7 linked regions of the Oryctolagus cuniculus genome follow. The protein of the gene in region 2 interacts with the protein of the main gene of each other region in a pairwise test. Links are inferred from orthologs where the notes say so. Each region holds a gene or a part of one and is shown on either strand. Other genes may lie near its edges. The genes, in order: TRAF3IP1, ABI2, KIAA1217, ARHGAP32, KRT20, DTNB and KIFC3.

What was found.
Region 1: the proteins of ABI2 (region 2) and TRAF3IP1 interact in a two-hybrid assay, tested with the Homo sapiens proteins (2 studies listed by BioGRID and IntAct). The link is inferred for Oryctolagus cuniculus from reciprocal best matches to the Homo sapiens genes ABI2 and TRAF3IP1.
Region 3: the proteins of ABI2 (region 2) and KIAA1217 interact in binary tests that used the Homo sapiens proteins (3 or more experiments, as listed by UniProt). The link is inferred for Oryctolagus cuniculus from reciprocal best matches to the Homo sapiens genes ABI2 and KIAA1217.
Region 4: the proteins of ABI2 (region 2) and ARHGAP32 interact in binary tests that used the Homo sapiens proteins (3 or more experiments, as listed by UniProt). The link is inferred for Oryctolagus cuniculus from reciprocal best matches to the Homo sapiens genes ABI2 and ARHGAP32.
Region 5: the proteins of ABI2 (region 2) and KRT20 interact in binary tests that used the Homo sapiens proteins (3 or more experiments, as listed by UniProt). The link is inferred for Oryctolagus cuniculus from reciprocal best matches to the Homo sapiens genes ABI2 and KRT20.
Region 6: the proteins of ABI2 (region 2) and DTNB interact in binary tests that used the Homo sapiens proteins (3 or more experiments, as listed by UniProt). The link is inferred for Oryctolagus cuniculus from reciprocal best matches to the Homo sapiens genes ABI2 and DTNB.
Region 7: the proteins of ABI2 (region 2) and KIFC3 interact in binary tests that used the Homo sapiens proteins (3 or more experiments, as listed by UniProt). The link is inferred for Oryctolagus cuniculus from reciprocal best matches to the Homo sapiens genes ABI2 and KIFC3.

The regions. Positions count from the first base shown.
Region 1 is NC_091434.1:2,080,946-2,085,129, forward strand, and holds part of TRAF3IP1 (TRAF3-interacting protein 1), read right to left. Parts: intron 3,236-4,184; coding exon 3,092-3,235; intron 3,003-3,091; coding exon 2,589-3,002; intron 1-2,588.
Region 2 is NC_091434.1:36,633,905-36,638,088, forward strand, and holds part of ABI2 (abl interactor 2), read right to left. Parts: intron 3,109-4,184; coding exon 2,933-3,108; 3' UTR 1-2,932. UniProt on the Homo sapiens protein: Regulator of actin cytoskeleton dynamics underlying cell motility and adhesion. Functions as a component of the WAVE complex, which activates actin nucleating machinery Arp2/3 to drive lamellipodia formation.
Region 3 is NC_091444.1:105,071,904-105,076,087, reverse strand, and holds part of KIAA1217 (sickle tail protein homolog), read left to right. Parts: coding exon 1-1,267; intron 1,268-1,781; coding exon 1,782-1,904; coding exon of another isoform or gene 1,905-1,919; exon of another isoform or gene 1,920-2,444; coding exon 2,445-2,918; 3' UTR 2,919-4,184. UniProt on the Homo sapiens protein: Required for normal development of intervertebral disks.
Region 4 is NC_091432.1:122,591,385-122,595,568, reverse strand, and holds part of ARHGAP32 (rho GTPase-activating protein 32), read left to right. Parts: intron 1-54; coding exon 55-2,307; 3' UTR 2,308-4,184. UniProt on the Homo sapiens protein: GTPase-activating protein (GAP) promoting GTP hydrolysis on RHOA, CDC42 and RAC1 small GTPases. May be involved in the differentiation of neuronal cells during the formation of neurite extensions.
Region 5 is NC_091448.1:21,701,480-21,705,663, reverse strand, and holds the end of KRT20 (keratin, type I cytoskeletal 20), read right to left. Parts: coding exon 4,107-4,184; intron 2,625-4,106; coding exon 2,608-2,624; intron 1,735-2,607; coding exon 1,637-1,734; 3' UTR 900-1,636; downstream 1-899. UniProt on the Homo sapiens protein: Plays a significant role in maintaining keratin filament organization in intestinal epithelia. When phosphorylated, plays a role in the secretion of mucin in the small intestine.
Region 6 is NC_091433.1:177,292,274-177,296,457, reverse strand, and holds part of DTNB (dystrobrevin beta), read right to left. Parts: intron 2,282-4,184; coding exon 2,196-2,281; intron 1,581-2,195; coding exon 1,467-1,580; intron 1-1,466.
Region 7 is NC_091449.1:41,300,824-41,305,631, forward strand, and holds the start of KIFC3 (kinesin-like protein KIFC3), read right to left. Parts: upstream 3,185-4,808; 5' UTR 3,157-3,184; coding exon 2,935-3,156; intron 1-2,934. UniProt on the Homo sapiens protein: Minus-end microtubule-dependent motor protein. Involved in apically targeted transport. Required for zonula adherens maintenance.

The sequences.
Region 1 (4,184 bases), about 35 Mb from region 2:
GGGTCTCGCAGCCCCTCACACCTGCACAGTGCTCGCTCTGTGCTGCGACGATGCTGCCACTTCAGACGCACAGCTGTGCAGGGCCCCAGCCGGAGTCACCAGGAGACAGAAACCGGACTTCTGTGCTGACGGGGAAACAGTCACTCTGCCACGTCCCAAATATTTTCAAACAAAACCATCCCTCCTACGCAGTCTAACACATCCCCAGACACCAGCCAGTAAGACGTTCTCCTTGGACCCTCCTCTTAACTAGAACACAAGTCCCAGCCTCGGCAACTTCAGTGAAGGTGAAGGTAGCACGGAGCCCGGCCAGCAGGCCCAGAGCCCATCGGGGCTGTCAGTCAGCATCTCGGGGCTCTCAGGAGAGGCGAAAGCCGGGAGTCTCTGTGACGTCCAGAACTCACCCGCAGAGCAGGCTTCGCCACGCGTCCCGGGGGGAGCGCTCTCGGCACGTGCCCAAGCAGGAAGACACGCAGCCTGAGGCTCCCAGCACAGCACTACACCGCCAATGACAAAGCCACAGCAGTCTGTGCAGACAGCACCCCCTCTCGCTGTGACCCACAGACCCCGCAGAGAAGGCCAGCTGACGGGATTCCACGGGGTCAGCCCCCAGACACGGCTGAGACGCCTGGCAGGAGAGGGCCTCGGTCAGCTCACGCCTTGCCCCCCCCCCCTTTTTTTGACAGGCAGAGTGGACAGTGAGAGAGAGAGACAGAGAGAAAGGTCTTCCTTTTGCTGTTGGTTCACCCTCCAATGGCCACTGCAGCCGGCGCACTGCGGCTGGTGGACCACGCTGATCCGAAGCCAGGAGCCAGGTGCTTCTCCTGGTCTCCCCATGGGGTGCAAGGCCCAAGCACCTGGGCCACCCTCCACTGCACTCCCTGGCCACAGCAGAGAGCTGGCCTGGAAGAGGGGCAACTGGGACAGAATCCAGTGCCCCAACCAGGACTAGAACCCGGGGTGCCGGCGCCGCAGGCAGAGGACTAGCCTAGTGAGCCGCGGCGCCGGCCACGCCCTGCCCTTGCCCTTGGCCCACCTGCACCACAGGTCTCAAACCCTTCCTCCATTCCAGCCAGGGGAGCCCAGGAGGGGCCACCGCCCTCCCACGAGGCTTGACGAGGCCGCGTCCCTGCCTGAGTGGGCGTCTGAGAAAACAGCCCTGCCGCTCATGGGTGCTTCAAGTCATTCATGAAAATAGACTTAGAGATACATCTATTTAGGGACCAAAAATTCTGAAAGTATCTTTTAATTGCATTTTTCCATAAAACGTTTGAATTCCTCTCCTAAACAATGAGTCTAAAAGAAACCTGCATGTCTGGAAAACACCGCTGGAAACCAAAAGAACCTTCTAGGCAAACCTGAATTTACTCAAAAATCTAACGAAATAAGAACTACCGTAGACGTATGCACTTCTCTGCTGACGCCTCGAAGCCTTCCAAGACAATCCCTGGAGAGCTCAATGACACCCGTGCTCCCAACGACAGCGGCACACAACGGAGACCAGGAGTCAGTGCGGCTCACAAAGCTAAGGTGCACGCTGCCTCGTGGCCTGCAGACAAACTCCCAAGGGGCTAGATGCAGGACAAACACGGGGAAACGTGGGCAAACGACCTCAAACTCAGAAAAATGCGGCTCTGTCTACACGTCTGGTGGACGATCACCGAACTCTAAACTGCAAGCACTGGAGACTTCCTCCTCCAAGCACCGCCCAGTCCCCCGGGATGGACCTTCCATACACACATCTCACAGCCGCCACCAAGCAGCCACCTCCACCCAGCGCTTCCTGATCCGAAAGTCCATCGTCATCCCACGCCTGGACTCCCAGGGCGCCCGTGGGCCAGACACTGACCAGGCTGGGACCCAAAGCACACACAAGACAAAGAAGCCGCCGGCTGAGGCTCTTACGGAGCTCGGCTTCCTGCAGAATCCCTGCTGGGTGTGAGGTAGAGCTGAAAGCTTGGTGGGCATTGCCTAAAACCTCCACTACCACATGGCGCCTGGCGGATGTTCGGATGTTCGAGGGGCGTGTCTGCGGCTGCCGCGGTTAAGCTATATAAGATCAGACCACCGGCAGGGATAGGTCCGCTTTAGTTCCGGACACGTGGACAGTGCGCGATCCCTATACTTTGCTTAAGGTGCCCGTGTGTGGTCCACCGTGCCTGCGTGACCTTTTCTCTGGCTCCCTACCACGCATGTCCTCCGTAAGCTTTACAAGCCTGCACGCTTCCTCAATAGGGCGGGTCCTGCTTCCACAGAACCCACGGTGCTGTGGTGTGTTCTTGACCCACCGACCTCACCCCTCCCGTTTGCCTTGCTGGGGAGTGCCTGTACTGCCCCTGCTGGTCAGCGGCCAGCCTCGGCCTTGGGACTCCGACAACAGCTTACTGACTCATGCCTCAATGAAACGATTAGACAACCACCAGCCGGGGACAGAGACAACAACACTGTCGCACGTCTGCACCTCCGTCGGAGGTCATGACTGCCACGTTCCCAGCTGGCGAAACTGAACACCAGGTCCCAGCACCAGGCCAGGACGCACGGCAGAGAACACGGCACAGAGAGGGGAGGGGTCTGCAAGCAGATCTCACCTTCTTCTCCAGCTTATCCTGCTCTCGGCTCTTCTCCCGGTTGGGGTCCCTGGAGTGCTCCCCGTTCCTCACCCTCCGCTGGTCCCTGTCCTTCCCCTTGTCCCGGTCCCTGCCCCTGAGTCTCTCCTTTTCCCTCGCTGCCTCGCTCCTCCGCTCCCTGTCCCGCTCGGCGTCTCTGTCCCGCTCCTGCCTGGCCCTGGCCCTGGCCTTCTCTCGCTCCCCGTCTCTGCGCCGGTCTCTCTCGGGCTCTCTGCGTCCGTCTCTCTCGGGCTCTCTGCGCCCGTCTCTCTCGGGCTCTCTGGGCTTCTCTTGCTCCTTGTCCTTTTCCCTCGGTTTGCTGTCTTCTTTTAATTCTTCTTTCTGTTTTCGATCTCTGCTTGGGCTTCTCTCTTTTATTTCAGAGTTTCTCCTGTCCTAAAAAAGAACATATATCTCATTTACGAGGCTTTCCCCAAACTACAGAGAGGCGATCTTACTTCCAAGGTGCGCGACTCGCGACTCACCTCTTTCTCCTTGTGGCCTCTGGGCTCCTCTTCTCTCACATGCTTATTGTCCGACTCCTGAGGCCGTGAGGTCAGGGAGACCCTTCCCTTCACATCCCCCTTCTCCCCAGACAGAACTCTCTTCACTGCGTCCTCACTGGAGAGCTGGTGTGTCCACATGTCAGAAAACAAAAGGTGAAATGAGCACATGTAGCAAACGAGGGGCTCGGCATTCAAGGAGAGTTCAATGAACAGGCGTCTGCCGCCACGGGCACGAACAGGGTAACTCGTGAAAGGAAGTGCTGTTCTCACAGCCAAAGCACAGCACCTCGCAGGACCATGCCAGCCCTTGTGGGGAGCAGCCCGGACTGGACTGAGTTACTGGAATTAAGACTTATTCTATGCATCTGCTCTCCCACAATATGGCGCTGGGAGAGAAGTAAACAGCTTCTGCACAGCTGCCTCCAGTTCAACCAATAAACTGTAGGACTTGCTCCTGATTGGAGAGCAGCGTACTCGGCGTGTGGGCAGCCGAGTTGGGATTGGCGGAGGAGGACTATAAAGGAGGAGAGAGACGGCATGCACCAGGGAACATCTAAGGGGAACATCTAGCTGAGGGAACACCCGTGCAGCCCCCGAGAAGAGCCGGCCGGCGGTGTGCCGCTCCCCTGCGGAAGTGGGGAATGCGGCCAGGGGGAACTGCCCTTCCACGGAGGTGGAAGGGATAGTAGCCAACCCGGGAAGAACCAGCAGCAAACCCGGGGAGGGCCGAGCAGACGAAAGAACAGCGCAGGGTCCTGTGTCATTCCTCCACGAAGAAGGGGAGCGACATAATGGTGCCGAAACCCGGGAAGGGCCGAGCAGACGAAAGAACAGCGCAGGGTCCTGTGTCGTTCCTCCACGAAGAGGGGGAGCGACATAATGGTGCCGTGACTCGGATTAGGAAACCTAGGCCGGATAGGAAACTTAGGAGGGAAGAAACGGGAAGAACTGGGAAAATACCGGAGAGAGAGACTAGCAAACAGCCTAGGGAAAAGCTGGCCGAAAAAGGTGCCGGAAGAAGCTATTGAAAGCCTAGGCATAGACTCAGATACGGACTACGGGGGGAAGCTGG
Region 2 (4,184 bases):
CGGAACCAGAGATGCTAAAATCTAGTTTTAAAATCCTTTGATTCAAAGTAACTGGGGTGGGGAGTTCCTAGCCAAAGTTGTTCAGACGTGAACAGGCCCCATTCTTCTCAAAGACTGGCAGTCACCTGGCCATTCCTGCAGCAAACCCTCTGCACACGTAACGGTGGACCTCAGGACCTGGCAATGCCCACGGAGGAGAAGGTGACAGAAGGGGAAGTAGCTCCTAGAGGTGCAGAAATGGCACCTGCTAAACTCAAGTGGAAACCAAGATCACAGCAAACTGTATTTTGATGCCTCCCAAACAGAAAAATCAATTTACTCAACACAAAGCACAGCTATGTGGCACAGCCACGCTACACACAGTGCTGGGGAGATGTACACAACAGCTGCTCTCGCCGGGACCAAACAGTCGGAGGAGGGAGAGGAGAGGATGAGAAGGGCTCATCCCCAGTGACTCAGCAACACAGCGGAGTTAGCAAGTTCTTCGCAGCCCTAAGGTGAGAGCAGCAAGCGCTACTGAGGGAGAAAGGAAAAAGGCCGAGAGACAGAAAATACGGACCGAGACGTCTTAGCAGATTAGTATTTATTCCAAACACATTAGTCTGGATTTCTCAGGTCTGGATTTTGATGCACTGGTACTTTGTTTCCAATTTATTGTCTTGGCCATAAGGTCAAAAACAAAAACAGTGCGTTTTCATTCATATCTCCACCAACTCTGGAATATTAACACCAAAAAAAAAAAAAAAACCATTATGCAGTGACTTTTTAAAAAAATTGTAATAATGAGATGACCACAGTCTAAATGAACTTCAGAGGGAAGAATCTTTTTCCCATCAGATTCTATCCTTACAAATGGTTGCTTGCTGTTCAGCAGATCTGCGACTTGGATCATCCTCGCTGTAATTATTAAAAGCATGTAAGATTTTTCTGCATTCATTTGGAATTCCTAATACCATCTTTTAGTTTACAGGAAGATAAAGGGGGAAACACAACAGGAAATATTACCCTCACAGACTATTAATAGCATGCAATCTATGAAATATTACATACATTAAAAGTCTCCAATGCAGGCCTGGCCCATCATTACATTATATCCTTCTGAGACAATCTATAGAATTCAGAACTGTACAAAAAAAGTGGGCAGAAAATCCAACAAATATCATTTGTTAAACAAAAGTCACACACACACAACAGTACCAAATAATATAGAAAATACTGGCTAAGTCGTGGACTCCTGCCACCGCAGATGTTAAATATAGAGAGGCCTTCACCGAGTATCTGGCACACTCCCATCCAGCAAGGGTCCAGCAGGTGCGCGCGTTACAGCTTCTGCACAGGGGTCTCCTCTGGTGGGGAGCCGGGAGCTACTTGTTGGATTTCAAAACACCTTAAACCACAAAATGCTCTCAGCAAAGAAACTACTCAAAAATATAGCTGGAAGATGTCATTTCAAAGCTGTCTGTCCAGCTGCACGCCGGCACTAAGCAGGGTTTACCCGATGCACACGCAGTCTGGTTTGGGTGTCCGATGGCGTTGAAGGCCCCGCGGCACTGACTGTGAAGGAACACTAAGGGACATCAAGATGACTCAAGAAAAGCACGAAGTGGAATGTGGACTGGAGGCAAGTTAGTAAAGCTAAGACCAGTCTGGGGAAATCAGGAAGCAAAATGGTTAAGCCCAGTTACCTTTCTTCTTAATTATAACTTCACAAAGTCTTGATCAGGAATCTCTACAGCTGGGTCTGTTGCACAGCGATGTGCAACAGAACATGACTTCTGCCTGCTCATTTGCACTCAAGTTCCTGCCTGCACTGCGTGCCTTGCCGGGGGTTCCCAGTACTCAGGGGACAGCAAGTGTGACGAAGGAAGCCACTGGCCTGCAAACTCCACTCCATGTAGAACCCTAACAGCTGAACAGATGGGAGTAAAATTCTTTTGTTACTGCTTCTAAATTAGCGAGGGGGTCAGCATTGAGGCCTGTTGCTGCTCTCCAGCTAGGATGCTCTGAGTGTGAGATGGGCTTGGGGCTGAGAAGCCCCTCAGGGTCCCATCACGGTGAGGCTCCCTCTCCCAGCGCCCCAGGGTGGCCAGGAGGAGGCTGGGAACAGGGTCTTTCTATGTAGGGAAAAGGAGGGCCCCACAGAACTGCACCTCAGGCAAGGGTTTGGGATGCCCTCGAGGCCAGGCAGCAGCTTGCTCTCGGACCCTCCCACCGCCTCCCCGGGAACCGCCCCCACCCCAGCTGCTTCCCGGCAGCGTGGTACATCACACCGTGCAGTCCTTACCCACCCCGCCATGTCTGCAGACTCCCAGAGCAGCATCCTGTCATCTACACACTGGGGAACAAGGGATACAAGTGCGTTCAAGGTCAACTCGCTGGGCGCACTCAGGTGTTGAGGATGCGGAATTTACAGTGTCCAGGAGGAACAAGGCTGCTGAGCCAACGGAACCATGGTTACCGGGGAGTGTAAGTATCGACTTCCTCCTCCTCCTCCAAGCGGAAGGAAGTGCGGGCACCAGTACCCACTGGGCATGAAGCCAACCCCTTAGCACAGGCAGAGAACACCCAATGCCACGGGTTTTGTGGGAGGAGGAATCGAGGGTGTCCAGTATTCCTGAGAACGATCCCAGACAGTGTCCCGAATCAGTCACTCTGATGTGCTCAGCTGCACGGTTAGGCGGTTCCAGCTTTGCCACCTCGGAACCGGTCACGGCGCATCACTCGACAGCTCAGCGTGGCACCAATCACTGCAGAAAGACCCGTCTGCTCAGAGTTGGCTTTTTTGTTTTCAATACTCGGGGATTAAAAAAAAAAAAAAAAAAAGCCGTTTTATCGTTTGTATCCTTCGTTCTGTTTGGAAGGGGCGCCCCGGGCCATGAGTACTCCGGGGAGACCTGACTGTTCCTGCGAGGGCCGCACAGCCCCCCGCGCGTCACTCGGAATAATGCATGATGGACTCCACGTAGTTGCCCGGGAAGAGCCCAGTCACTCCATTCATCACGCCCTCGTACCAGCCGTCGTCATTCTTCTTGATGACGTAGATGATGGCTCCTTCCTGGAAGGACAGCTCATCCTCCTTGTCTTTTGTGTAATCATAAATTGCCACAACTAAGGGAGAAAAAACAGGATATAAAAAGTCACTATTCTTAGAGAAAACCAAACATGCAGATAACCGTTCTTCCTTGTCATCTGCATCTCTGTAACAGCCTGACTTTCTAAACAAGACCACAGTTTGTACACTTTTCTCCCTGGTACCCAGTCTGACACCACGCAATCCCCTTTCCTACCGAGGGGAGGCTCTGCACGGTACAGATGGCAGTTGTCAGCTTCACCCTTCCACACAGAGGCGAAAGCGCCTCCTTGAAGACGACCTCAGAACCAGGAAGACGGCTACCTCTTCACTTGAGCTTGCGCTGCAGCTCCACGCTGGGGAAGAAAAATGCAGGCCTTCCAGCACTGAGATTCTACAGTGCGGTGAATTCACCTACGAGGCGACTGACAACAGACCGAATTCCCACGATGCTTGGAGGAGGGGAGTCCACCTGTAGATACGTTCTTTCAAAAGGTGCTCCATTTTGTCACCAGCTGTATGTGTCCACAGGAACAGTGTCAAAGTGTAAGAAAGCCAGCACTCCTCCGAGCTCCCCTGTGATCCGCACGGCTCCCATCACTTGGTGACCGGGCCTTTCAACCCCGCCCTCGGACCATCTCTGCTTCCTAACATCACATTTATCCCGCTCGTTTTAACTGCGACACCTGAGAGCTCGCTCAGATGCCCCTGTGGAGTTCTAGTCTACGCCAGCCCCTCTGCCTCCTGCACCTTTCTGGTATCATCCAGAACTCTGTCCAGGGAAACCTCCATCTCCATCTATCCATGGTTAAAGCATATATTGCTGGGGCCGGCGCCGTGGCTCACTCGGTTAATCCTCCACCTGCGGGCACCGGCATCCCATATGGGCGCCGGATTCTGTCCCGGTTGCCCCTCTTCCAGGCCAGCTCTCTGCTGTGGCCAGGGAGTGCAGTGGAGGATGGCCCAAGTGCTTGGGCCCTGCACCCCATGGGAGACCAGGAGAAGCACCTGGCTCCTGGCTTCGGATCGGCCATTTGGGGAGTGAACCAATGGAAGGAAGACTTCTCTCTCTCTCTCTCTCTCTCTGTAACTCTGTCAAATTAATAATAATAAA
Region 3 (4,184 bases), on a different chromosome or scaffold from region 2:
CTCCAGCGTGAGCTCATTAGAAGACGAGCGAAGCAAACGACCGGCCGTGGCAGGGCCGCAGCTCCCCACGCCGGGCCTGGAGCCTCAGAACTACGGAAAGACCCAGGAGAGAGAGCAAGAACGAGGGGAGCACACAGGAAGGGCCCACGTTCCCTCCCTGACCCCAGCGACAGAGCTGGCTCAAGCCCCAGGCCTGGAGGCGCCGCCGACAGGGGTGGGCCAAGTTGTCCTCAGACCCAAAGGGGCCAGGCACGTGCCCGTGCCACCCGCCGAGAACGGGGACCCGACCCCGGGCCCCCCGAGCGAGGGCAACATCGCCTTCATGATCACCAGGACGGCCGTGCAGGCGCTGTCCAGCGGCGAGGTGCAGGACATCGTGAGCCGCAAGGGGGAGGAGGTGCAGACGGTGACCATCGACGGCAGGCGGGAGGGGCCGGGGCCCGAGGAGCCCGTCGTGTGCCTGGACAGGAAGCCCGTCATCATCATCTTCGACGAGCCCATGGACATCCGCTCTGCCTACAAGAGGCTGTCCACCATTTTCGAGGAATGCGACGAGGAGTTGGAGAGAATGATGACAGAGGAGAAGATAGAGGAGGAGGAAGAGGAGGAGAATGGGGACCCCGTCCAGAGCAGTTCCGCCCCCGGGCCTGCCTCCACGGTGGCCTCAGGCACTCTGGGGACAGCACAGCCCGCCGAGAGCCCGTTCCCGCTGCCCTCGCCGCTGGTGGCAGGGAGCAGGGCCCCCAGGAAAGCCGACCTGAACGAGTCGGGCCCGGGAGACGCTCTGAGTCCCGAGGGCAGGGGCGATGCAGCCGACGAGCAGTTTGACAGCCCCAAGAAGAAGTTCAAATTCAAGTTCCCCAAAAAGCAGCTGGCCGCGCTCACGCAGGCGATCCGCACCGGCACCAGAACAGGGAAGAAGACGCTGCAGGTGGTGGTGTACGAGGAGGAGGAGGAAGACGGCACCCTGAAGCAGCACAAGGAAGCCCGGCGCTTCGAAATCCCCAGCTCGCAGCCCGAGGGGGCGCTCGAGGGCCCGGCCCAGAGCTCACGGACCGAGGAGATCCGGAAGAACACCTACCGGACCTTGGACAGCCTGGAGCAGACCATCAAACAGCTGGAAAACACCATCAGCGAGATGAGCCCCCGAGCCCTCGCCGACTCCGCCCACGCGGCCCACGGGCCCCCTCCCCACACCCTGCTAGTGCGGGATGACGTGCCCACTGCCCCAGAGCCCCCCACGCCAGTACCGCCAGCTCCGCGTAAGGTACCGTGGTCTGGCGTGGAGCGAAGCGGCAGCCGCTTTCCTAAATCTGCCAATAATTGCCCTTAGCAGAAGGTGTCTGGTGATTCAGTCGCTTCCTAGCGGGCAGCTCGCGTGGTTGTGGGTGCTGGTGCTGGTGTTGTCTGTGCGCCGCGAGGCCCCGTCTGTCCTGCTGTCTCCCCACCTGCCAGTCCAGCGGCCTTAGGTGTCTAACAGCTAATCGAGTGTGTGTGCACCTGCGGCTGAGCGGTGTCGGGGACACGCCAGGGTGCTGGGTCCGCCGTGTGCTGTGGAGATGGACGATTGCTCTGGTACTCACATTAAAATCCGTTGGATCAGTAGTGAGCGGTGGATTCTGTCTGGTTCTTCCGATTAACCCCAGTCGGTGTCTCCTCCGTCTCTCCTGCATGCCGGGCGGGGGCTCTGCACCTCGGGCTTCTCAGCACACAGTAGGGCAGCCTCCGGGACAAGGCGCTCATACTCTCCCCTTCCCCCGTCTCGCCGCTCTTTCCCGCAGGGCTCCGGCGGGACCCCCCAGACCAGCAGAATGCCAGTGCCCCTGACTTCCAAGAGCAGACCCGGGAGCCTGGACAAAGCCGGCAAGCCGTCCAAGCTGCAGGACCCGCGCCAGTACCGCCAGGTAGTTTTGCCTTAACCCCCAACTTGGACGGACACTATCGCGGTTCAGCAAGCCGTAGCGTAGAGCAGTGCGGCCGGCGGCCGGCGGGCTCGGGTGGGCACGAGGCAGGGCTAGCAGCCGCTGTTGGAGCCCTCTCCACGCTCTTGCACGCTCGCGACGAGACAGCCTTGACGTTGGCGACTCCACGTTTTAACTGTGCGCGCGCTGCCAGGCCCGCTGGCTTTGCCCTGAGCGTGCGACCAGGACACCAGGGAGAGACAAGCCCAGCTGTGCGCACGCGGCCCTCGGTCCCACACTAACGTCCTTGAGTCAGCAGCGCCTTAACTCTGCCGGGGGGGTGGGGGGCGCCGGTTCTCGGCTCCCTGTGCTGTGCACCTGGGGGGAGGGGGCTCTGGCAGGTGCACGGCACAGACAGCTCAGGCCTGGACACGGTGGTGGTGTGTCTGTGAGTGGCTCCCGGGCGGGCCGTGCTGTCCCTGTGAGGGGCTCGCGGCCGGCTTCTGACCCTGTCTCCCCCTCCCCCGCCGTCTCTGTTTGCAGGCCAATGGAAGTGCTAAGAAAGCTGGTGGGGACTTTAAGCCTACCTCTCCCTCCTTGCCTGCCTCTAAGATCCCTGCCCTGTCCCCCAGCTCTGGGAAAAGCGGTTCTCTCCCCTCTAGCGGTGACGGCTCCAGCCTCCCTAACGCGCCCGCTCCTAAGCCATCGGCCGCTTCTAACCCTCTCAGCCCCTCCGCAGGACGGCCCGCCCCCGCCGCCTCCCTCATCCCCTCCGCCTCTAACGGCGCCTCCAAGTTGGCGCACGCAGGGAAAGGCCAGCACCTGCCGCTGCCCCCGCAGACTCACAACGGCCGCGCCGCCCCTCCCGCGCCCTCCGCCTCCCCCGCCTCCCCCCCCTCCCTGAGTCACGGCGCCAAGGGCGCCCGGACGCTGCTGGGCCCTGGCCTTGCCGGCTACAAGGCGCAGAACGGAGGTTCCAGCAAGACCGCGCCCGTCGCCGCCAAGGAGAGCGCCTAGTCCGGGGCGCCGGGCCGGGAGCACGGAGCCCGCAGCCGCCGCCCGCCTCTCCACCCGGTCGCTGTCGTGATTCCGCGTGTTGCCCGTCCGTGCCAGTGCCCCCGTGAAGTGAGCGTGTGTCTGTCGCCGGGGAGGGTGAGGCGCAGGTGCGTGCGTGCGTGCGTGCGTGCGAGAGAGACCCGAAGACGCGCGCCAGGCGTGTGAAGCAGCGTGAAGCCGGCATCGCGCGTGTTTTGTATGAAACTATGTTTCCCATCGGAGACTGGAAGCCATCAGAGGTGCCCGAGTGTGACTATACAAAGCGTGAAACAGTCTACGGAAGTTCCTTTTATTTTAGTGTTAGAGCTTTATTACAGATTTCTATTTTTGTCAGAACTTCATGGTTCCTTTCGAGATCTTTTTTGCCAAGACATTTTGATACTGGAGCATCGTACACGCACCTGCCCTGCGCTCCACGCCGAGCGGGCGGGCTGCCGTGGGCGCCTTGGAGAGGGCGCTGGGGACGCTGGCCGGGGGCCGTGCGCTCCGCTTGCTGCCCGCTTCCCTCTCGCTTCCTCCCCTCCCCTCCTCCCCCTCCTCCTCTCCCCGTCCCGTCCTCTCCCGCCTCCTGCTCCCTGTCCCCCTCTTCCCCTCTTCCCCCTCCTCCTCTCCCTCTCCCCCTCCTCCCCCTCCCCCGTCCTCTCCCTCCTCCACTCCCCTCCTCCTCTCCCCCTCCCCGTTCTCTCCCTCCTCCTCCTCTCCCTCCTCCCCCTTTCCCTCCTCCCCTCCTCCTCTCCCCCTCCCTGTCCTCTCCCTCCTCCTCCCCCTTCCCCCTCCTTCTCTCCCTCCTCCCCTCCTCCCGCTCCCTCTCCCCCTCCTCCCCCTCCTCCTCCCTCCTCCTCCCTCCTCCTCCCGCTCCCTTTCCCCCTTCTCCCCCTCCCCCCACTCCCTCTCCTCCCCCTCCCCCTCTTCCTCCTCCTCCCCCTCCCCCGTCCTCTCCCTCCTCCACTCCCCTCCCCCTCCTCCTCTCCCCCTCTCCGTCCTCTCCCTCCTCCTCCTCTCCCTCCTCCCCCTTTCCCTCCTCCCCTCCTCCACTCCCCTCCTCCTCTCCCCCTCCCCGTCCTCTCCCTCCTCCTCCTCTCCCTCCTCCCCCTTTCCCTTCTCCCCTCCTCCTCTCCCCCTCCCTGTCCTCTCCCTCCTCCTCCCCCTTCCCCCTCCTTCTCTCCCTCCTCCCGCTCCCTCTCCCCCTCCTCCCCCTCCTCCTCCCTCCTCCTCCCTCCTCCTCCC
Region 4 (4,184 bases), on a different chromosome or scaffold from region 2:
AGTATTTGGCTCCATGGGAGGCATAACACTCATAATATTGTCATCTTTCATTAGGTTCAAGGTATAGTTCCAGCTCCAGAGAGGCCACCTGAACCCCGAGCTCTGGATGAGCCTACACCTGTCTTTGTCAGTGATGGTAGTACTGCTGCCCAGTGTCCCATGGCTACCGCTGCTCTCCAGCCAGGCCTGCCTGAGAAAGTGCGGGACAGCGCCAGGGCCCCACTGCTGCACCTGCGAGCCGAGTCTGTCCCCGTGCACTCCTGTGGCTTTGCTGCACCCGTACCCCCTGCCAGGACGGCAGAGAGTAAGCTCGCTGCTGTCATGCACTCCAACAGTGCTGATGCCACCAGCAGTCCAAATTACCACTCCTTTGTCACTTCTTCATCGGCCTCTGTAGATGACGGGATGCCTTTGCCACCTCCTGTGCTACAGCCTAAGCATGCTGCTCAGAAAATAGTGTACTCCTCCTCCTTCGCTAGGCCTGATGTCACCACCGAACCCTTTGGTCCGGAAAACTGTTTGCATTTCAGTATGACTCCAAACTGCCAGTACCGTCCCCAGAGTGTACCTCCACATCACAATAAAGTGGAGCAACACCAAGTGTATGGTGCCAGATCAGAGCCACCAGCCTCTGTGGGGCCTCGTTACAACACCTATGTGGCCCCAGGAAGAAACGCATCTGTACACCACTCCAAGCCATGCAGCCGGGTCGAGTATGTGTCGAGCTCTTCTGTTAGGAGTACTTGTTACCCTGAAGATATTCCACCATACCCTACCATCCGGAGGGTCCAGTCTCTCCACGCACCCCCATCTTCCATGATTCGCTCTGTTCCCATTTCACGGACAGAGGTTCCCCCAGATGATGAGCCAGCCTACTGCCCCAGACCCCTGTACCAGTATAAGCCATACCAGTCTTCCCAGGCCCGCTCAGATTATCACGTAACTCAGCTTCAGCCTTACTTTGAGAACGGACGGGTCCACTACCGGTATAGCCCCTATTCCAGTTCTGCTGCTGGCTCCTACTACAGTCCAGACGGGGCCCTGTGTGATGTGGATGCCTACAGCACAGTGCAGCTGAGACCCCTCCACCGCCTACCCACTCGCGATTTTGCTTTCTACAATCCTAGGCTGCAAGGGAAGAGCCTGTACGGTTATGCTGGGTTGCCTCCTCGTCCACGGGCCAACATGACCGGCTATTTCTCCAGCAATGACCATCATGTAGTCAACATGCCGCCAGCTGCTGATGTAAAGCACACCTATGCCTCTTGGGATCTTGAAGACATGGAAAAGTACCGCATGCAGTCCATCCGGAGAGAGAGCCGTGCTCGGCAGAAGGTGAAAGGGCCTGTCATGTCGCAGTATGATAACATGACTCCAGCTGTGCAAGATGACCTGGGTGGGATCTACGTCATCCATCTGCGCAGCAAGTCAGATCCTGGGAAAACTGGACTTCTTTCGGTGGCAGAGGGCAAGGAGGGGCGGCGCCCAGCCAAGGTCATCAGTCCCGAGGGAGATGACCGCTTCTACAGGAAGCACACAGAGCCAGAGTTAGACAGAACCCACAGCCACGCAGGCTATGGCAGCGCGCAGGGAGAGAAACCCTCTCTCCCACAGAAGCAGAGCAGCCTGAGGAGCAGGAAGCTTCACGACATGGGTTGCAGCCTCCCTGAGCACAGGGCACATCAGGAAGCAAGCCACAGGCAGTTATGTGAGTCGAAAAATGGGGCTCCTTTCCTGCAGGGAGCTGGACAGTTAGATTACGGGCCCAAAGGAATTCCAGACACGTCGGAGCCAGGGAGCTACCATAACTCTGCAGGGAAACATGGCCCACCCGGTCCGGAGTCTCTGAGACTGAACCACAAGGAGGTGAGGCTTCCCAAAGAGCTGGAGCGGCCTCGAGCCAGGCAGCCTCCGGCCTCAGAGAAACACCCCAGAGACTGCTACAAGGAGGAAGAGCACTTCACGCAGTCCACGGTCCCACCTCCTAAACCCGAGAGGAGTCACAGCCTCAAACTCCATCACACCCAGAACGTGGAGAGGGACCCCAGTGTGCTGTACCCATACCAAACACATGGCAAGCGCCAGAGCAATATGACTGTCATGTCCCAGTATGACAACCTGGAGGATTACCACTCCCTGCCTCAGCACCAGAGGGGGGGCTTTGGAGGGGGAGGTCTGGGGACGTACGTGCCCCCTGGCTTTCCCCATCCACAGAGCAGGACATATGCGACAGCTTTGGGCCAGGGGGCCTTCCTGCCCACAGAGCTGGCCTTGCAGCATCCTGAAACACAGGTCCACGCAGAATGAGCCCTGGGAGCAATAGAGTTGAAGCAGTCTCTGCTGGACAGTGGACTGGTCTATTTTTTTCAATAACCAAAAAGATTAAAAAACAAAACAAAAAAAAACAAAAAACAAAAAAAAATGCTACAACCCCCTGGTCACATTTAAAAAACATAATAAAAGTAAACAAATCAGCATCTCCCCCCCCCCCACTTCCCTGCCTCATTACCACCTCTTCCATCTATAGACTGTATCATTTTTGTCTTTTAAAAGCGAGCTGAATGATTGTAAAGCATTGTGTTGGAAACTGAGTGAAAACTTTGTCAGAGACCACACTTGCCACATAGGGCTAATTTGTAAGAGCCTGAGGGCTGCCTATAGCTGAATTTGAACCTAACTCTCTCTTGGCTTCTTAGTCTTTGCTAGCAAGTCCAGAGCAGTTTGCATCTGTTTCCTGGTGGGCTCGGGCACTTACTGTTGTGTTCCCCCTTCTGCAGCTACACAGCTTGCCCAGTGGGATGCTCCACTCTTCTCCTTCATTAGCCCTGGCTGAGAAGGGGCTTGTGTGTTAGATGAGAGTGGGAGGAAGCTCTTTGGTCCTTCAGATCAATCAGTCAGACTATTAGAAGCATTACGGTAAAAAGGAAGGCCATCTTTAAATTAAACATACTCAAGAGTCATCATAAAACGTGGGACCGTTCGACTCAGGCTGAACTGTATGTTCTTCCCAGTCTTTCTTTTCATGCTTGTTCCTCACAGTTCAAGAACAGGCTCGTGCCACTGCAGAAAGGTTATTTTGTTTGTTTGTTTGTTTAAGTTAGAATTTAAGGAAACTTCTTAGGTGGGAGAAAGTGAAGCTCGCATTGTCATTGCACTGTGTTAGCACCAGAAAGCTGTTGTCAGTGCTTTGAATGCCTTGCCTGTCTTCAGGGGTTTCATGCTCAACAATGTTTGGTAAATGAGAATCTCAATGCAAATATTTCAAACCCCATTTGTTCTCCTAAATTAGCAGCTTGTTTTTTTTTTTTCTTTAATTAAAAAAAATCAACATGGTTTGGATAAACCTGCATTATTTATCTTGGCCGTAAATTTACATGTTAAATTTTGTTTCTGAGCCAGGATACAGGATCCCTGGGAATGTAGCTGTGTTGTCTGTTAGGAAACTGCTAGTTCCCGCAATAACCACTTCTACACAGCCCCTCTTCAGTGGTTGGCTTTCCCAGGCAACTGCCATTTATGTCCCGAGCAGGTACATAGACTTCACTTCCTCTGGGCTTCTGAGATCAGTCTTAACATAACTGTCATTACACCAGCATTTCAGGTACAGCTCTTTATAACTTCGTGGACATGTGACTCTGTTTTGAAAGCTTCATTCCTTATTATAGTAAGAAAAGGACACCTCTCTAGCTCAACTCCATTCTGTTTCCTGAGTCCACCTTGCCACAGATACACCAGGCTAGACCAGCAAGGCAGTCCTGAATTTACAATCTAAGGTTAGGTTATCATTTCATTCCATAACTCTTAATAATACTTGAGTTTTATACATTCATACATTTTAAATACTCACTTTATAGAAGACACTAGGAGATTTCATTCCATTTAATGGATGGTTGCTGCTCTGGCTTTTTAGAACTTGGAATTAACTTTTATTTAGGGCAAAGGAAGAAAATTTTTAAGAGGCTAAAATCATGCTGCTATTGTTGCGAAAAAGTCATTACATTATAAGAATTTATATTTAGTAAAAGAAAAAGTTTTAAGAACAACACAATTTGTATCTGGAAGTACTCTATAAGGTCTTCTTTTGTTTCCCAGAGTTAATTGGAGGGCTGAAATAAAGACCATGGTAGCACTCTTGAGACGGTGATAAGGGACAAGGTCTGTGGGAGGTTAGGCCTTCACATGGG
Region 5 (4,184 bases), on a different chromosome or scaffold from region 2:
CTGGCCTGCGGTGCCAGCATCCCATATAGGTGCTGTTAGAGTCCTGGCTGCTCCTCCTCTGATCCGTTGTGGCCATTTGGGAAATTAACCCGTGGATGGAAGACCTTTCTCTCTGTCAGCATACATGTAGCACCTATCAGCATACATGTAGCAGTACTTTATTCCTTTTATCGCTGAACAATACTCAGCTGCACAGATAAGCCACTTTTTGTTTTTCCACTCATCAGCTGATGGCTGTTACTACTGAGGTCATTATGAACCATGCTCCAGTGAGTGCTGTGTCCAAAAGCACACAGTCTGGGCCGGGCACTGTGGCTAGTGGGCTGAGCCTCCGCCTGTGGTGCCAGCATCTAATGTTCTTGTCCCCACTTCTCCTCTTCAGATCCAGGTCTCTGCTGATGGCCTGGGAAAGCAGAGGAGGATGACCCAGGTGCTTGGGCCCCTGCACCCATGTGGGAGACCCAGAAGAAGGTCCTGGCTTCAGGCTGGCCCAGCCCCAGCCATTGCAGCCATTTAGATGGAATTCTAGTCGATGAAAGACCTTTCTTTCTGTCTCTCCCTCTCTGTAGCTCTGCCTCTCAAATAAATGAATAAAATTATGAAAAGATGCAGTCTTCGATTCCATTTATATGAAATATCCAGAACAGGCAAACCCATAGAGAGGGGGAGATCCGTGAGGTTGGTGAGGTGCTGGGGGTGACTGCTAACGTGTGGGGGCTTTTTTTGGGTGGCAGAGATGACGCAAATGTTCTAAAATTAGATAATGGCGATGGCTGCACAACCTTGAGAACACACTGAAGACCACTGAATTGTACGCGTTACCTCTCAATAAAGCTGTCACAAAAAATGGCGGGAAACGTTTCATGATGTGTGCTTACTCTGTAAAGAAAGAGAGCACCTGATGATTTACACAGTTTATTGTCAAAAGGAGATGCATTCTGCCTCGAGAAGCGTTTCAGTAGTTTTGATTTTAATCTACTCCCATTTCAAGCATGGCAGATTTCATTCTTATTCTGCTCGGTATTTGTGATTGGAATTTGACTCAGATTATTCACAGAACCAACTTGAGTTTTAAAAGGCAGTAGAGGCAGTGGGAAAAAGCAGCCGTGGCTCAAAGGTTGCAGAATTGTGGAACTGTACGGATGTTAAAACTTCAGTGGGACTGACCAGAAACAGCTCCATGAAGACTCCAGGGGCTCCCAAGGGGAGGTTTTACAATTTAGAAACAGGAAAAGAGAAGAGAGAAGCTGATTTGCCATTGGTATAGATTCCTCTGCTTTGTCAGATTCAGCATAATTGAAAGCTACTGTAATTTTCAGCACTGTTACCTACACATTGATTTTTGTGGTCTGTAGCTTGTAACTAATACATTTCACAATGCAGATGACAGTAACAACACTTTAAATATTCCAGTGCTCATTAAATCTCATGTTCGTAGGCGATTTCCATCCCCTCTGAGTGAAACATTTATATTCAATTACAGAGATTGACTAATAGGACCCCCCCCCCCCCCACCGCCGTTTCTGATTACTCCAAGGTGTTAATAGTGCTTCTGGGTGGCCGTTTTATTGTAGGGAGCAACAATTATAGCTGCACTTCCCTGGAAGCCTCAGCAGCGTCTCCTGCCGGTAGCTGTTCAGATGGATTCTTCCACCTCTTTGATTTCAGATGACACAACCTTGCCGTCCACTACTTCTTCCACAACTGTCTTGATCTTCCTGGTTTTCTTTTTATCTGAATACACATTACACATTAAATGTTAGCTTTGGGACATGACTCTGCTGACTTACAATATGCTAATTTAAACGATTATTTTTGTCCTCATTTCCTTCTTTTAGGAGAAAATGTTGAACTCATTTTCTTTCTTCAACAATTTTAAGTTCTTCTTTTTTTTTTTTTTTTTTTTTTTTTACAGGCAGAGTGGACAGTGAGAGAGAGACAGAGAGAAAGGTCTTCCTTTTCCGTTGGTTCACCCTCCAATGGCCGCTGCAACCGGCGCGCTGAGGCCGGCGCACTGCGCTGATCTGAAGCCAGGAGCCAGGTGCTTCTCCTGGTCTCCCATGGGGTGCAGGGCTCAAGCACTTGGGCCATCCTCCACTGTACTCCCTGGCCACAGCAGAGAGCTGGCCTGGAAGAGGAGCAACCAGGACAGAATCGGCGCCCCGACCAGGACTAGAACCTGGTGTGCCGGCGCTGCAGGCAGAGGATTAGCCTATTACAGCGCCTGCCTGAAGTTCGTTTTATAAACAAGTGCAGCCAGTGGTCCCCTCTTCTCTAATTTGCAAATTTCCTTCATTTCCCGTGCCTACATAGAAATATGGTATCTTGAATTAAGCAAAATTCCCACGTTTGATTTTTTTTTCTCTTTTCAGAGTCTCAGGAAGCTTTAGGACAGCATTAGCACAGGTCAAGAGCACTGCCCTGTTATGGGCAGCCTGTCAGAACTCCCCCATGAAACTGTAATGCTGTGCGCGAGACTTTCAGAATCCCTGGGGTCTCATCTGCTCACTTGAGAACTGGCCACCCTACTTTCCTCCAGTGACAGTTAACAGAAGGCTACTGAAATTCCAATGTTACAGAAAATGTGCAAAAATTTGGAAATCTTACCTCTCTCTTCCAGGTTGCTTTAAAAAAAAAAAAAGAAACAAAAAAAAGCGTTATTGTCTGTTACAGTTTGAATGGGATTTGGTTTCCCCAAACTAATGCCTAATGTCAAACCCCAAAGTCTTAAGTTTATGGTTAATGGGTTAATGGTTGGTGGGTTGTGGTGGGGGAGGGGCCTTCAGGAACTGATTGGATTGGATCAAGTTGCTACAGAGGAGCCCTGTGATGGCATTATCAGGAGAGCCCACCTGGGGATAGTCTCCATGTGTGTGCCCTCCATCTCTGCTTCCTGCTCTCCATGTGATACTCTCTGCCACCCTCCAGCCTCCCCAGATGCCTACACCTAAGGGGCCACCTGGTCTTGGGCTGTGAACCTCCAAAGGAAGCAGAAGCAAACCTTCTTTCTTCTTAGGAAGCGTCTCTCATGTAGTTTAGTTAGAACAACAAGAAGCTAAGGAATACATTGCCATTTTGTGTTTCAAAGCAAAGTGAGTGATGTGGGTTTTCATGTTCTTTCCCTTTGGTAATGCTTGTTATTTACAACTTGAATGTCTTACTCTTTTAAAAAATATTTTTGTGTATTTAACAGGCGGAGAGAGTGAGAGAGTGAGAGGGTGAGAGGGTGAGAGGGTGAGAGGGTGAGAGGGAGAGAGAGAGAGAGAGAGAGAGAGAGAGATCTTCCATTCACTGGTTTAACTCCAAATGCCCACAACAGCTGGGACTGGCCAGGCTGAAGCCAGGAGCTCAGAACTCCATCCAGGTCTCCCATGTGTATGGCAGTGACTGAGTACTTGAGTCATCATCTGATGCCTCGCAGGGTACACATTAGCAGGGAGCTGGAATTGGAAGCAGAGCTGGGACTCAAATCCAGCCCTCCAGCATGGGGTGCAGGTGTCCTACGTGGCATCGTAACTGCCGTGCCAAATGCCTGCCCTCCACTCTAATTGCAACTGACTTATTTGAGTGTCTTGCTTTTTAACTTGAAAAATGAATAGCTTCAGAATTGACCCGGTTGACAAATGCTAGAAGTTTTTGTAATTAAAATAGCAAATTCATAATGGAAGTTTAAATTTTGTGTTCTCCTGTTGTTGTTCTTGGGTGTGATCTTTGCGAGACAGCTTCTTCAGCAATACTCACGATTCTCCAGCTGGTTCCTGTGGACCTCTGTGGTCTCTTATTTAATTTGTGAGCTCGGAATAAGAATTTTTCAAAAAAGTAACTTTGCTTTAAATTATACTTTAATCACAAAAACTGGCCTTAACACAATTGGTATCATTTGGATAGCCATCTTCTAACTTAGCCCTACCACATAACCTCAGGTACAAAGGCCATATTTGGTGTTTTGGGTGTGTGTGTACTTTTTGGTGTACTTTTGTTGTTGTGAGTGGTATGTGTATAATTGCTTTTGTGTTAGGGATTGCATTGGGTCATGGGTAGCAAGGACAGTAAAATAGGACAGTATCTAGACATTGATACACACAGCCCATGTTAATGATCCTTACTTTACATCTTCTCCTTCCAGAAGCAGGCGGTAAGTAGCAATTTCCTGCTCAAGACGAGTCTTTATGTCGAGAAGGGCG
Region 6 (4,184 bases), on a different chromosome or scaffold from region 2:
TTAAGTTGTGCCTTCTTGTTTGATCCATCTGGTGTTGGTTTTTGCACACAGTGTGAGCTGGAGAGTCAATATGCTTGTCCATTTGTACACACTTATTGAACACCCCTCCTGTCCTCAGTGAGGACAGACACTGCTCTGGGGACTGAAAGCCTCCGCTTTCTCAAGCTCGAGACTGCCCTGGACTTGGATTAAGCCCTGCTTCCTGCTGACCTAGGTGACACCCCGGCCTCCGCCTGTGCCTACTGAATCCGCGCTGGTGTTTAGATCTTTCCAGCTTAGCTGAGCACTTTCAGCCAGCCCAGTTCCAACAACACCTGCACTCACAGATGACAGTGTTTTGCTTCTGAGATACAAAGAGTCACTCGTGCCCGAGCTGAGACGAGGGAAAGAAGGCAGGGCATCTACTGCTGGTGGCCCAGGGTTAGCCTCTGCTCGCCACAGCAGCAGGGCTTCCCACTTCCTCCTGAGACCACGCTCATATCCCAAATGTGCGACACTCAGCCACAGAGCAACCAGATCTCAGCCCAGCGAAACACCGAAACAAAAGTGCATTTTAATAACAGAACAGGAATCTCAGTACCTCTAATGGTTTTCATCTACACAGTTTATGACTTACTTATTGATGACTTAAATGTAAACAACAGAATATCTATGGAAAGAAATAATCTCCATTTTACAGGAAAAGTTGTGGTGGAGGGGCTAACTGACCTAAGCCACACTAACCAGACAAACAATGATAAAAAAGGGTACTTGCTGTGTGGAATCCCCGATGACAGCACAGTGCAAACCAACTGTGGACTGTCAAATGCTACAACCTAGGCAGAAAGGACCTATACGGTAATGGAAACCCAGAGATCTGCTGAGACCACTAAATCATTCAAATCACTAAACCTGGTTTCCACAGAGTCCACCAAAGAGTCCACACGTGTCTTTCTGGGGACGACAAGAAGTGGGACCCTAATGTGGGGTGAGCTCACGCTCCTGCAAAGACTTCCTCAGCCCCTCTGCAAGTTGTCCTGATCCTACCTCCTTAGCTTCTTGGTCCCTGGGACACACACGGTCTTGGTGCGGGGGGTTCCCCTTTAACCCCTGTCTCAGAGGATGAGCCTGGGTGGCCGTGCCTGTGGCGTGCCACGGGAACACACCAGGGTGCTTCAAGAAGTTCATGGAAGACCAGAACTCAGAGACAGGCTTATCTTAGTGCAAAAGAATTTTGAAATCCACGCATAGCTCCCCCCCCCCACCCCCCATTGCCCTGGAATGTTCTGAAGATTCTTTGTAGGCACGGATTTATTTATTTATTTTTTGGTTGCACCAATACAAAGTTAACTGAACATTTCCCCCTGCTTTGTGAAGCAACGTGGTACTGCTGGGAAAGGGAACCATCATCCCCCCAGGGCCTCTCCCGACAGCCTCCTTCAAGCCACTCCCTGGGGCTACAGTCGCGCCGCGGACGCCCGGCTCACCTCAGCAGCCGCAGCTCGGCCAGCAGCGTGGGGTTCTGCTGCGCCTTCTCAGGCGTGGGCTGCGACGCCTGCTCGTGCTCCAGGCGCAGGCGCTGGATCTCCTGCAGGATCTCCCTGCGGGGCGGGACGAGGGCCGGCTGCTCAGCGCGGGGCGTCCACACAGAGCCTCACCCCGCCAGGTCCTGCCGGCTTCCCCGCGGCGGGAGCGTGGCTAAGACCGCATCCCCCAGCTCTTCCCGCAACGCACCCACCCGTCGGTGGTAGGAAAAGTCCTAGGGACGTCTCCACAGGCGGCGAAGGACCCCCGCGGACCCTCTCCCGGGAAGGGGGCGGAGAACCCGGCGGCGCCTCCGGACAAGGGGCCCAGGCCCACTTCTTTCTCCCACCCCGGTACTCTGTCTGCTGTGTGTCTGCTCCCCGTGTCCTTAAATGGCTTGGTAAAAAACAAAACTTTCTGAGGAGACACTGGGCGGTCACGTGGAGCGCCATGGGCCTGGACAGGCCGAGCCGAGCACCCGGACCAAAATGCTGGCGGGAAGTCGGGAAGAAGGATCGGGAGCGGGACCACCGGGAGCCAGGAGGCGGCCTGGGGAAAAGAACCCAACTGAGGGGCAGGGGAGCGGGGCTTTGGGGCCGGAACTGGGCCAGCCTCTATCCACTGCGAGGAAAGGGGAGCCCGGTGTCATGGGCAGTCCTGGGCCTGCGGCTCGGCCTGGCCCCAGCGCTTACCTGTTCTTGTTTTCCAGTTCTGCGATGAGCTGTCTTTGTTGTTTGTTGGCATCAAAGTTGAAGCTCAGGTCCGTGGGAGGTCGAGTCTGAAGTGGGGAGAGAGCTGTGGTTGGTCCCCATTCACATATCCCAACGACCCATTCTGAAGGAGAGTACACCCGAGAAATACCCACGTGTTGAAGAGTGCAGGTCAGCGAGTCTTGTCGCTGCAGCGATTTCCACGCTCCCCACCCCACAGAGACCCCCTTGGCATCAGTGATTTCTAATGTCCCCCACCCCAGAGACCCCCCCGGCCGGTCTGCCGTCTCCTGCCCCCACCCTGACCTCCAACTGCCGCTTTATCTGCGTTCTGTCTGGCTCTGCCTTTTCTAGAAACTTCACGTAGCACAATCACACAACAGGTAGTCTTTGGTTTCAGAGGCTGAGCCGGCAGCCCCTTCCTTCCCACTGCTGGGACGTGTCCCGCTGTGTCCGGCTCTGGGCTGTGACGAGCCAGGCTGCTGTGAGCTCTCATTTGCAAGGCCGCGTGCCAATTCCCAGGGGTGCGATCACTGACGTCTGCGGTGACTCTACCTGACCTCTGAGAAACCGCTGAACCCGAACGTGGCAAAGTGGCCGCACAAACCCAGCGTCCCATGTGCGCTGCCACCTCACCAACACTGGTTACTGTCCTCATTTTCACCATCCTTGTGGGGGTGATGGTCATACATGTGAGTTTTTGTAAAAACGGAACTATCACTTACATACCATTAAACTCACTCTTCTAACACGTACGCTTGAGTGGTCTGTAGTGGATTTATGAGGTTGTGAAACTATCACACTAATTCCAGGATATTTCCCCCACCCACAGTGACCATTAGCAGCAGTCACTCCCCAACTCCTCTCCCTCTCCCCCTCACACCATACTTTCTGGATTTGCCTATTCTGGGCATTTTACTTAAATGGAATGAGACACTATGTGACCTTTTTTTTTAAAAACATATTTATTTGAAAAGCAGAGTTACAGAGTGATAAGGAGAGACAGAGGTCTTCCATCTGCTTGCTCACCCACCAGATGGCCACAACAGCCAGGGCTGGGCCAGGCCAAGGCCAAAAGTTTCATCCAGGTCTTCTACTTGGATGCAGAGGCTCAAGCCCTTGGGTCATCTTCCACTGCTTTTCCTTTTGCATTAGCAGGAAGCTGGATTGGAAATGGAGCAGCCAGGACAGGAACTGGTGCCCGCATGGGATGCCAGGGTCACAGGCGGCAGCTTAACCCACTGCACCACAACGCCGGCCCCCATTATGTGACCTTTTATGTCTTGCTTCTTTCACTTAGCAGAATGTTTTCAAGGTTGATCCACATTGTAGCATGTATCAATACTTTATTCCTTTTTATGGCTGAATACTATTCTGCTATTTAGATATATACCATATTTTACTAATCCTTTCAATAGTTAATAGATATTTGGGTTGCTATGTTAAGTAATGCTATGAACACTTAGGTAGACAGTTATGTTTGGGTTTTTTGTTTTTTTTTTTTCCCTTGGGTATATATGTAGGAGTGGATTTGCTGGGTCAGATGGTAATTGCTTTTTGAGAAACTGCCAAACTGTTTTCCGAAGTGGCTGCATTACTTTACCTTCCCATGACAGCACATGATGGCTGCAGATTTCCCACATCCTCGCCAACACTTGTGCTGTCCGTCTCTTGACCATAATCGTCCTTGTGGGTGTGAAGTGACAGCTCACTGTGGATTCTATTTATATTTCCCTAACGACTGACACAGTGAGTGAACGTTCACGTGCTCACGGCTGTCTGTGCATCTCCTCGGGAGAAATCATGTGGCTGTGCTTTGCATATCCACTTGCTCTGATCCGGGAATCGGTTAACACGGCATGCAGGAAGGAATGACTGGCTGGGTGACGTTTCCTTCCGCTACCCAAAAGAGAGCTCTCAGCGAGGGCTCGGCGAGGACCACACTTCATCCTGCACATTTTCAGTTCTGCC
Region 7 (4,808 bases), on a different chromosome or scaffold from region 2:
CCCGCCGCTCCACAGTGCCCACCCCCTGTCTGTTAGGTAGCTAGGCCGCATCAGCCAAAGAAAATGGGGATTGTTAAAGCAAACTGGAACTGTCATGTGATGTAACGAGGCAGCAAGCCTTGGCGGCAGACCAGCAGCTACACCCCGAGTACTGCGCTCGTCCCATAATCCTGTTGGGGCCCAGCCCTCTCCTCCCCGACCTGCACCCAGAGGGCTGCTGGCTCCCATCCAGCGGTGCTCGAGAGGTCCCAGGAGGAGTTTCAGGAACCCCCACGCCCAGGAAGCCCTCCTCCCAGCAGGGTCCCAGAGGAGGGAGGAAGGGAGGAAAGATGGGGGGCCCGAACCCCTATCCACACCAACTCCAGCCTGAACAGACACGCTTCTTGGTTTTTCCTCGATACATGCCTGGCCTATCAGGTGTGTCTGTCTTCATTAAATTCGGCTCCCCCAGCACACCAGAATCCCTCGCCGCAGGATTGGGTACCACGTGAATTTCTGGAAGTGCCCTGGCGCAACCCCCCCCCCCCCCCCGGCTTCCCTGTCACACTAGCACAAAGTCCCGGTTCCTTACCCTGTCCGCGAGATCCTGTGCCATCTGCTCATGGGCCTCCACTGCCGGCTCTGCCCCTGCTCTCGCCTCTCCAGCCACAGGGGTCTCTCAGGCCAGCCTCGCTCCCATTTCGGGGTCTTTACCACCTTCCCCAATCAACCCCCTTATCCCCTCTGCAAACAGTCTCTCCCATCTACCCTTGCGTCTCAAAATGTCACTTCCTCCAAGAGGTCTTCCCTGACCACTCCCACCTCCCTGGGTTTTAATCCCTCATTGTACTTATCACTGAACTTCTCTTGTTTTCTGTCTGCCTCCCGGACTAGGAATGCAAACTGCAAGGGGGCAGAAGCCTCCTGGACTGTTCAGGGTCAGATCCCCCGTGCCAGGGACAGACCTGGGCCAGAGCAAACATTCAATGCATATTTATGGAGTGAAGGCATCAATCCATCAAGTGGAGCCGGACAGCAAGCTTGTAAATAATACATGCAAGCGGCTGCCACACAGCAGGCATCACTCAAAACCTCACACCCAGCCCCGTCCCAGGCGCTGCCTTTTGATCCACAAGAACCCACAGCAACAAAACAACTCAACGGTATCTCGGTAACGCTGTCCAGGCGCGCTGGGAACTTGAGCATTTAGCCAAAGCCCTTCTCACTATCTGTTCATCCTAACAACCTAGTGAGGAGGCAAGGCTGTAGCCCCATTTTAAGGAGCCCCAAAACTGAGGTCGAGCAGATGTTTTGTACTTGCCCAAGATCATGAAACCACGGGCCAGCATTGCGGCACAGGGTGTTAAGCCACTGCCTGCAATGCCATCACCCAGTATAGGTGCTGGTTCAAGCCTTAGCTGCTCTGTTTCTGATCCAGTTCCCTGCTAATGCACCTGGGAAAAGTGGTGGAAGATGGCCCAAGTGCTTGAGCCCCTGTATCCGCGTGGGAGACCCAGATGGAGCTCCTGGCTCCGGGCTGCACTTCAGCTTGACCCAGCCTTGATCTTTGCAGCCACTTGGTGAACCAGCAGGTGGAAGATCTCTCCCTGCCCCCCGCACCCCCCCACCTCTTAACTCTGCTTTCAGATAAATTTGTTGTGTTTTATTTAAGTTTTACCTATTTATTTGAAAGGCAGAGTTAGAGAGAGGCAGAGGCAAAGACACACAGAGAGAGGTCTTCCATCTACTGGTTCCCACCCCAGATGGCCACAACAGCCAGAGCTGGGCTAATCTGAAGCCAGGAGCCTGGAGCTTCCTCCTGGTCTCCCATGTAGGTGCAGGGACCCAAGCACTTGGGCCATCTTCCGCTGCTTTCCCAGGCCATAGCAGAGAGCCGGATCGGAAGTGGAGCAGCTGGAACTCGAACAGGCACCCGGCTTTACTTGCTATGCCACAGCGCCGGCACTGATAAATTTGTTTTAAAAAATCATCTAACCGGCCTTGGGCAGAGCCAGGAGCCTCCCCCCAGACTACACAACTGTTTTCAAATCCCTCTGAATGAATGCCATGGAACACTTCTGTTGTGCCAGGAGCTGCGTTAGAAAGAATTTCAGAGACTGTCTCACAGGCAAGCCGGGGTAAAACGTTCCAGATACCAGGGTTCTAGGGAATCCTGGGCCACGTGTAGAGACCCAACCCCGCTCTACCAGGATTTCTCCCACAGTCACCCTCACGAGTGCCGATTGCCAATACTCCGCTCCTCACTGCATGCCGCTCGTTACTGTGCCGTTGTACACAGGAGGAAACTGAGGAACAGAGCCATCGAAATGCTTGCTTCTGGCCCAACACAGCAAGCAACACAGCTGGGTCCTGAACTTGGCCCTGGCCGTGTCATCGGCAGAAAAACCTGGTCTCTGTGGGTCAGCGGTCTGCAGGTGCTTCTGAGCGTATAAAATGCTAGAAACGGCCGGCGCCGCAGCTCTGTAGGCTAATCCTCCGCCTTGCAGCGCCGACACACCGGGTTCTAGTCTCGATCGGGGCGCCGGATTCTGTCCCGGTTGCCCCTCTTCCAGGCCAGCTCTCTGCTGTGGCCTGGGAGTGCAGTGGAGGATGGCCCAAGTGCTTGGGCCCTGCACCCCATGGGAGACCAGGATGAGTACCTGGCTCCTGCCTTCGGATCAGCGCGGTGCATCGGCCGCAGCGCACTGGCCGCGGCGGCCATTGGAGGGGGAACCAACAGCAAAGGAAGACCTTTCTTTGTCTCTCTCTCTCACTATCCACTCTGCCTGTCAAAAAAAAAAAAAATGCTAGGAAGATCTAACTCTGATGAGCTTTATATAGATGGGAAGGACCTAGGGGAGAACAGCCATACGCCAGCCCCTAAACTAGAGGCCACATGAGCCCCGCCCCCACCCAGGGCAAGGTGTGCTTCAAAGTCTTCCTTTTGTTCCTTACCTGTAGGTAGGGTCGCTGGGTCTGTGTGGCCGGGATGCCTCCTGGGGAGGGGGCCTGGAGCTTGGCAAGACCATCTTCATTGGAGACACCAGGGCCAGACCAGCGCCAGCCAGGAGCCTGCTCCCGGCCAGGGCTGGGCTCTGTCTCCCTCTCTTCTCTCTGCCCCCTCGGCCGGGCCCAGCTGATCCAGCCCAGCCACACCAGGGCTGGAACCACAAACATGGCAGCACCCAGCCCCGCTCGCTCTGACCCGCTGTAGAGCATGGTATTCGATGCCGGAACAGACAGCAGCCCGTGCCCTGGAATTTTCTGCTTGGTTCAACAATTCCTCGTTGGACCAAGCAGTGGCTCTGGCCTTGAACAAGGCGGGCATTCAGCCTTTGGCTCAGCAATTAAAAGGCTTTGGGGACAGCAGCTCCTTCAGCGTCAGCTCCCAGGGAGGGACTAACCCAGGTCGTAAGTGAGGGTCTCATAATGTGACCCTGAGTGAGTTTCCTAGCCAGTTTTCTGCAGCCCATGGAGGCTTGAGAAGAATTAGAATTATTACAACACAGGGTGTAAGAGGCAGGCGGGGAGAATAAAGCTAACCAGGCCCCTGACACCCAGGGGAGAACCAGAGATGTCCAAGTCTGTCTCCGAGTTCTCATTCTCTCAAAATCCTGTCGCACCCTTGGCCTTCCAGACCCGGCTAAGAGCAACTTCAGCCAACAGTCTTAGGACCAAGAGACCTGAGTTGGAAGGATCTGCTGAACCACAACAGAGGCTACCAAGGAAGAGAGCACTGGTCCTGGAACAAGCTCCCCCGACCACGGGCAGCAAGGTGAGCCGGTGGTTGGGAAATGTCCCCCAGCTCAGAACAAGCCTGCGTACTTTCTAATGAAAATCGGAAGAAGAAAGGCATCAGGGGTTTGCACTGACCCCACGCTAGCCATAGAGAAAAGGACGGGACGACAGCAAGTGGGGGGCTGTCCCCCGGGACAAGCCCGTGCTGCCTCTGTGCGCGTGGTCAGGGCCGTGCTGGGATCTGAGTGGGGGTTTTCACATTCAAGGCTGCACCTCGGCCCTGCTCAGCCACCCCCACGTCTGCTTCCTTCCACGCCCCAGCTCGCAGCAGTGACACTGAGGGGCTCTCAGAATCGTTGCCCCACCGCGTCCCCCCAGAGATGCAGAGGGAAACCCGCTGGCACCTTTAACTCTCACCCTGGGACGTGCCCCACATCTGTCAGCTTCAACCCTTGGGGCTCTGCCTTGCAACGTGCCACTCCCACCATCACGGCCTGGATGCCTGCCCTAGCCCCAACCCTCCGCCCCTGGTACTCAACTCCACGGCCAGACCGACCCTGTGAAAACCAAAGCCCAAGCACACTGCATCCCAGCAAGGTTTTCAAAGCCAAGGTCTCCCGATGTCTGTGCTCCAAAACCCCGCCGCCATCTTCTTCTGCTCTGCTCCTAAGACCCACCAGCTGCCCCCAGGACCTTTGCACTGGCTGTGCCTCCCCCCTGGAGACTCTAACCTCAGATACCTTGTCCTTGAGGAGCCTCACCCTGACTGCCTCATTTAAATTAGGGCCCCACCCACCCCTTCATCTTCCACCAACACCCCAGCTCTCCCTAAGGCTCTTCCTATGCTCCGAGTTCACTGGTTTCTTCACAGCACCAAGCACCTCCTGATACGCTAGGGGTGCATTGATTGGCTAAGCCTATTAGGTAAGAAGTCAGAAATGAGCTTGTGTGTGTGTGACAAAGGCCTAAGGCATAGACATCCAGGTCCAGCATCCGCATCTCAAAGTCATCCCGACAACCTTCCAGGTGCGGCCCAGTATCTGCACTTCAGACACCCTGCCCCCACCTTCCAGGGGGCCCTGCCCCTTCTA